2 linked regions of the Ovis aries genome follow. The protein of the gene in region 2 purifies or fractionates together with the protein of the main gene of each other region. This does not show direct contact. Links are inferred from orthologs where the notes say so. Each region holds a gene or a part of one and is shown on either strand. Other genes may lie near its edges.

Region 1 (3,748 bases), on a different chromosome or scaffold from region 2:
ATCCATTACACTCTGACAGGCAAATGGAGTGACCCACACCTGTCAGCCCGAACATCTAGCTGAGAGTGGCTGGGCCAGTCACCCAGCGGCACATGGACCTCACATTCTCCCCATAAAGGCATCTAGTATCAGCTCAGCCTGGGGAGGAGGGAGCTTCCACAGTAAAGACAAACGGTAGGCCTCAGTCCAACCAATGTATCCCCAAAGTAAGGCCACTGGCCACAGCCACTCACCTCTTGCTGAATTCGGTCCTGCTGAGCCATGATGGCTTCATCATAAGCAAGACAGTTAACACCTGGAAAAAGGAAGAAGGCCAAGTATTACAGTGGGCCCTGGCTCTCCCCACTCCAGGAAGCTGGGCCGAGGACAAGAACGGGCCAGGAGAGCAGACGTGCAATCTGGAAGCATGCATCATGCCCTGCTCCACCCCAACTGTGGGATCTTGGCAAAGTCCTTCCATTTCCTGGGCATGAGTTATCTCATCTTTAAAGGGAGGAGGCCAGGGACTTCCCTGGAGGTCCAGTGGCTAAGGCTCCGAGCTCCCAATGCAAGGGGGCCTGGGTGTTAGGTAAAAGACGACCAGGACACCAAAAGAGTGTCTAACAGGCTTTAATGGCGAAGCGCTCCCGGGCGGGGTTCCCGGACCCGCCCAGAACGTGTTAGAAGTTTGTTTATATATGCACGCTGCGAGGGATGGCCAGGTTAGTGGATGGGGGTTTGGATAGGTTGCCGGGCCGAGGCGTCACGGGCTGATACGTCCTTCTACGTGGCGGAGGTGGGGCAGCTTTAGCTGGCAAACTGTGCTGTCACTGGTCCCCGGGATCTGGGAGGCCCCTTCCTTAGGGACTTCCCCCGCCGACGGGGGAGGGAAGGGGCGGCCCATCATGGCCCCCCGGGGTCCGATCTTACACTGAGTTTGATCCTTGGTCTGGGAACTAGATCCCACATGCCATAACTGAGACCTGGCACAGCCAAATAAGTATAAATAAATGGTGGAAAATAAAGTAAGCAGGCCAAGGTGATCGCCCCCCAGGGTACACTCTTCCAGCTCGAACAAGCCCTCTCCCCCTGCTCTCTAACATCACTTCCGAGCAGCCCGGAAGGCCCCTGAGCCAGGTCTATTGAGGAAAGACAGATGAGGAAGCAGACCATCTTCGGCTAGATGAGCGCTTTGCTTTCCTCAGTCACACCATTCCTCCACCTGCCATCCTGGGTATTCGTAGTGGTGCCCATTTTACAAAGAACAAAAACGCAGACAGGTGAAATCACCTGCCCGAAGTCGCGACGAGGAAGACCTGTGGTCAATCCCAGGTTTGTCTAATTGCAAAGCCTGGGCTCTTTGCCACAATAACTCCCCTGGCACCTCACTGCAGAGGCTCATCATCAGCTGTGAATAGAGACAGATAGCACCACCTTCCTCCCTTCACTGTGATGCCCTGAGGAGATGGTACCTTAAGAGGTGTAGTTCAATACTCATCACTGAGTTGGGCGGGTCCACCCTGTGGGCCCCATGCCAAGCAGCCACTGGTGAGGAGCCAGGAGACCTGAATCCTGGCTCTGGTTCTTTCTTAACTTACACGATCCTAAACCAGTCCCTTCGGGGATTGGGGGGAGGGTCTAGGTCCCCAAAAGCTGTTTTTCAGTGTGCGGTTAGAGAGGGAGCTGTGTGCTAAATGACTTTTAAGGCCAATCCTTTTGATCTTGAGCAGGCCGGGGCCTCAGCTGGGCTTCCACCCACCCCCGACACTGCACTGCAACTGGGCCATCCCTCCCAACCCTAGTGACCTCCTCAGTCCCCAGTGTCTAACTCAGGGGTGAAAAGAAGAGGGTGGGACCGTTTTGAGAGGTCCAACTCTTCAGGGGTCTAAGGAAACTATGCCGAGACAGGAAGCAAGGGGCTGCGAGGCTAGGAGAGGGGACTCTACCGGAAACGAAGGGCGCTGCCCTCCTGGGCACACACCTACGGCCGCTCACAACCCCGGGCGGCCCGCAGCATCCCCAGCGGCCCGCCCAGTCCTTTGTGCTCCGCAGCCCGGCGTAATTCGACGCCCTCCCGGGCTCGGGCCGCTCTGGAGGAGGCGGACTAGACGGGGCCGGACTAGGCCCGGGCCTGACTGCCAGGTCCGGGGCGGGAGAGCCGGGACCCGGGAGCCGGACGCCCAGCGGGGAGGGGGCTGGGCGGGGGGTGGAGGGGCGGAGCGGCCTAGGCCCCGCCCCAGGAGCGCGCGACAGGGAAGAGTCGCGGGCCGGAGGCCGGCCCGCTTTCTCTCCCGCCGCCCGGCCGGCCAGGGGTCGCGGCGGCGGCTCCTTCCATTGTGAGGGGGAGGGGAGGCGGCGGACGCGGGGGAAGGGGCCCTCCGCTCGCTTCGCCGCCAGCCGCCCCAGCCCTGGTTTCCTCGGGAACCGGCCATCCGGCATCGCCCCCGCTAGCCCAGGCCGGGCGGCTCTCCCCTGGTCGGTACCTTCGGAGTCGCTGCCAAGCGGCTCCTGCTTCTGCTGCTGAGGTTCCTCCGCCGCCATCTTTAAACAGCGCCGCACTGCCGACCGCTTCCGGGTTACTAGTCGGCCTCCCCCCGGAAGACAGCCCCTCCTCGAGGCCCCTCCTTGGTAACGCCCCTAGCAACGGGATCCCCTCGGGCGTAGTCACCCGAGGGGCTCGCAGTCTCGTTCGGCGGCGGCGGAAGCCGGGGAAGTGAGGGCAATCCCCGCCCGCCCTCCTCCCGCACACTTGCTCGGTTCCATCTTTCCAGGCTCCCAATGTGCCAGGTGGTGATAAGAGCTTCCTGGGGCCACTTGAGTTTTCTTTTCACTAGAGTTTGAAACGCGGATTGTATTATTGAGATAAGCAGGAAAATGAAATTCAAATCACGGAAGGCAATTCCCGCTGCGGGCTCCAGAACTCAAGACAGGCGAATGCAATGAGGATCACTTGGCCGAGGAGACCGGGAATTCTGCTAATATCCGAGCTCTGGGAATTCACCGCCCCCCTCCACCGAGTCTCGGTTCCGAGCGGGCTTTGGTGTCCTGCTTCTGACCGAGAGACCACGTCCCTCGGGGTCGACCTTACTTTGGACTACCTGCCCTTGTGGTTATGAGAAAATCAGGATTTTTTTTTTTTTTAAGATAGAAGTTGACAACAATGAAAAACAGATTCGTGGTTCCCAAGGGTTGAGTCGGAGTAAGGAGGGAAGTGGATGTGGTTATAAAAATGAAACAGAAGTATCCTTGTGGAGACAGAAGTGCTCTTTATCTTGAATATATATGGAGATCCTGGAATATGCTGTACTGTAGCTTCAAACGCAAGATGTTACCAGTGGGGGAAAGTGGGTAAAGGATACCCAGGATCTTTCTGTGTACTCTGTTAAAATCACCTGTGAATTATCTAAAAATAAAACTTAAAAAGTGTCAAGGCCTTGGATGCTGAAGATGCAGTTATTTAGAGAAGTCACCTTCAGGGGTACTGTTCCTTTGCCTTTCTCTATGGAGGGCCTTTTCCATGATATGACAGTGGTCTCTTAGCACTTGAGGAGGCCGTGTCTGAGCCCCAATCAGATCCCTCCGTTCATGATAATACAGGTGCAGAATAGGATGAATATCTTCATGAGCTACATCCAGTTCTGGAGTAGGGACGGTTGGTGCCTGGGCTCACCACACTGCCCACAGTGGCGCTCTCACAGCAACGCTACACATGCCAAGTCTTTGCCCCAGCAACATGGCAAATTACTATTTCCTAGGTCACCACCAATCC
Region 2 (3,648 bases):
CATCTTTGCATATGTTGGTATGGGAAGATTTCTTAGGAAATTTGAATAGAAGGAAAGCAAGTTGAAGAATGTAATGGATGATAGTACTTTTGTTAAAATACTGTTTTCTGTAGATTTTCTATGAATACATCTGTATTTATTAAAATGCATAGGAAAAAAATCTAGAGGGATACATATCAGATCTCTAGAGCAGGCTGAGAGATTGGCAGTGGTCCTTAAGGGGGACTTTAGATTATCTGTAATAGTTTTTTTAATAGAGAAGAATGCTTTTATCTGTTACTTAAGCTAAATGTGTGTATGTGCACAATTTTTTTTTTTTTAATGCCGGATAAATAGAGCTGCTATACCATTCTAAAGACCTAAGCAAATTAATGCCTTGCTCATGAACTGGTGATCTAGCACATTAAGACCTCACTGGTAGAGTAATAAGTTATAAAGCTTGGACTTAAGTATGATAATGATATTACTTTAAGGCCTAGGACAGCTCAGTCTACCATAGTACTTTGAAATCAGTAAGTCAAGTTTTTAGAAACTTGGCGTATAGTTTCAGACAGACTTCACAGAAAAATTTGAGAGCCTTCTTTTGTTCCAAGACAGCTCCATGCTGGGTACACACAGATGAGAAATATTGTTTGCCTTTAGAAGAGTTCACAGTATAGAAAATTCTACAGGTGATGAGATCATCTATCTGATAGTGCTTGTGGGAGAAGGGAGAAAAATGTTTTTGAGAATCTTATATTTCTGTCCCCATGATAAATGTAAATGAGTCTTAATTATTAGGAATTAACTTTCCTACATTTTACCTTCTGCATAGGACAAAAAGGCTGCATTGGAAAAGGAGCGGGAAGAAAGGATAGCCGAAGCTGAAATTGAAAACTTAACTGGAGCTAGACATGTAGAAAGTGAAAAACTTGCTCAAATATTGGCAGCTAGACAATTGGAAATTAAACAGATTCCATCTGATGGGCACTGTATGTATAGAGCCATTGAAGATCAGCTGCAAGAGCAGAACGGCGTTCTGACTGTGGCTGCCTTAAGGTGTCAGACTGCTAACTATATGCAGAGTCATGTGGAAGACTTTCTGCCATTTTTAACAAATCCTAATACAGGAGAAATGTATACTCCAGGTAATTTATTTTTCTCTGCTACGTCTTGTTGCTGTTGTAGCTGTGATGGTTATTAAGTAAAGTGGTTTCTGGAACTGAGAATGAAAAAAAAAAAAAGAAAGCCTGAATAGTCCTATGGGGGGAAAACATCTCAACATTTAGGCAAAATTATTTTCTATGACTTTGGTAGATGATAGCACATTTTTGTTTATCAAGATCTTTTTAAGTACTTAACTATTTTGTAGTTGAAAATATTAATCTTAAGATAAAAATAGGAATAGGGTTTATATTACTAGTTTTAAAAGTGTGTAAATAAGTTCATATTTCACAAAGTTAAGCTTTGCCTAGTCTCTGCAAGTATTGAATCTGAAGACGATCAGTAGAGAATGGTTAGGAAAACTAATTCTTCCTTTTATCCTGTACTTTGGAAGATTTAATTTTATTCTTAATAAGTCATAATATTCAGGCAGAATATGACTGCAAAACCTGCCTTATTAGTCTGTATAATATCTTTGATAGTTGAGAAGGTTAAAAAAAAATATGTACAACTAGCAAATAAAGGAGGAAACGAGTAAAAACTTGAAAAAGTTTCTGAAAGCAAAAGGGGAGTAAGGGAGAAAGTTAGTCTTTGAGATAAGACAGCAGACGTGGCAGTATCCCCTGAGAGTAAGTCATATGGTCAGGGTGGATTGAAGAGGGGAAGGCTAGGGTTGGCTTTTGTTTAATGAAGTCCCCAGCTGTGCTAGTTGTAGCGCATGGGAGAGGAGGTGATACCTCAGCTTGGTGAATCAAAGAAAAAGACAAAAGCTGTAATCCCCAGTCCTTCAGTCAGTGTTTATTGAGGGCCGCAGCATGCTGATGCACTGTTCTCATCACTGGGGATGTGAGACAGTGAATAAGACGGGCATATGGAACGTGTTTTCTCCTAGATGCCCATAATTTTTTTCCTCTTCCTCTAAACACCAACGGTGTTAGTGTTTTTTCCTGACTTTAACTTTCTGTATAACAGCAGTGTGTATGCTTAAGATATGCCTAACTCTGAAGTTAGGTCTTTTACCTCCTCTTAAGACTGATACAGGAAGACTGTTTTTTGGCTAGAACAATAAAGTAAACATTTCCAAAATATGTAGGCACTGTTTGATGTCACTGTCATCAAATGGTCACTGGGAAAGGAGTTTCAACTCATTTGTACTTTGATTTTCTTCTCACATTTCTTATAGGGTTTTATAGTGAAGCCTGTTTTACAGAGGATGCATCTTTTAATCTTGTAGCATATTCTTTCAGATGCAGATTTGGATTTTGCAATGTGAATGTGGTGGCAATTTTGGGGTCAGTGCTTGGATCAAGAGAGAGGTAGGCTTATAATTTAGTTGAGATTGCTAGACTTCAGGTTGAGAGAGAGAAACAGATGAATTGCTTTGCTCTTGGATGGAAAGATGGAGTGAGTTAAGTTTGGATTTGGGAAATGGATTAAATTCTGGAGGATATATGTGGAGAAAGAGGAAGTTCGTAACTTGGGCAGTTTCATCAGGCATTGTGGGAATTATAAAAGGGATCTAATATGAATTCTAAAAAGTGCTATATTCTGATCTGTTTCCTACAGAAGAGTTTGGAAAGTATTGTGATGATATTGTAAACACAGCAGCATGGGGGGGTCAACTTGAGGTAAGTTTGTTATTCATCATGAAATTGTTAAATTATTTTTAAATCCCTTCTGTAGTTTCCAGACATATTTTTCAGGTGACCCAAATTTTTCTTTGACAATTCCTTTTCTTTATATATTTGCTATTTCTCTCCCGATAAAACACTGATAAAAGGAGTTAATATTCTTAGGCCTTTAATTTAATTATGTACCTTTGGGAACTGAAGCACTGTTTAATTTTAAATAGCCCAGTGTTTGATCTGTGAGTTGGTGAAGCTAGTGTTGTCTGCATATTTCCATTTGTGATCTTGCTACAGGCAATATATTTGAGTTTATGGACTTATGAAAGTGAAGATTTTCTCAAATACAGTAAAATTTTACCCAAGTGGCTCAACTGATGAAAATCACATTGGAAAATGTCAGAAATAGAAAACAATATTTTAATGTGAGATTACAGGTCAAATCCTACCATAACACATCTATTACAATTGTGTCTTGAGTTCCTAGTTGATACTGACTGATTTGAAAGCAGTATTTAATGCATTAAAATTTACTTGCAAGAAAATATGTTTAGTCATTTGTAGGGAGTTAATCATGATTTTTTTTAAAGCTCTAATTATTTATTTTACTGTTATCTTTGTTTCATTAAAGGAAAATAAAACCCCCGAGTGTGCAGATGGTGATAAGGTAGCTTGGGGTGTTAGAAGTCAGGGAGTAACAGGGAAAGTCTGGGGGCTGGGTGCTGGTTCCTTCTACTTCTCAGTTTTCTGACTTTGGGGGAGTCAGCCAACCTCTTGAGCTCCAGTTTCCTGATTATTGAATGAGGATAATAAAACCCCATGTGTACATGATAGTCCATTTGTATATACTAAACAAAGCAAAGGCTATATGCATTGAAGC

Evidence for each region. Proteins that work in one complex are often made in the same cells at the same time.
Region 1: the proteins of OTUD6B (region 2) and OTUB1 fractionate together in Homo sapiens (co-fractionation; 4 studies listed by BioGRID and IntAct, with this or other methods). This does not show direct contact. The link is inferred for Ovis aries from reciprocal best matches to the Homo sapiens genes OTUD6B and OTUB1.

Annotation. Positions count from the first base shown.
Region 1 is NC_056074.1:38,767,231-38,770,978, reverse strand, and holds the start of OTUB1 (ubiquitin thioesterase OTUB1), read right to left. Parts: upstream 2,542-3,748; 5' UTR 2,521-2,541; coding exon 2,463-2,520; intron 296-2,462; coding exon 234-295; intron 1-233. UniProt on the Homo sapiens protein: Hydrolase that can specifically remove 'Lys-48'-linked conjugated ubiquitin from proteins and plays an important regulatory role at the level of protein turnover by preventing degradation.
Region 2 is NC_056062.1:86,240,257-86,243,904, reverse strand, and holds part of OTUD6B (deubiquitinase OTUD6B), read left to right. Parts: intron 1-814; coding exon 815-1,127; intron 1,128-2,709; coding exon 2,710-2,771; intron 2,772-3,648.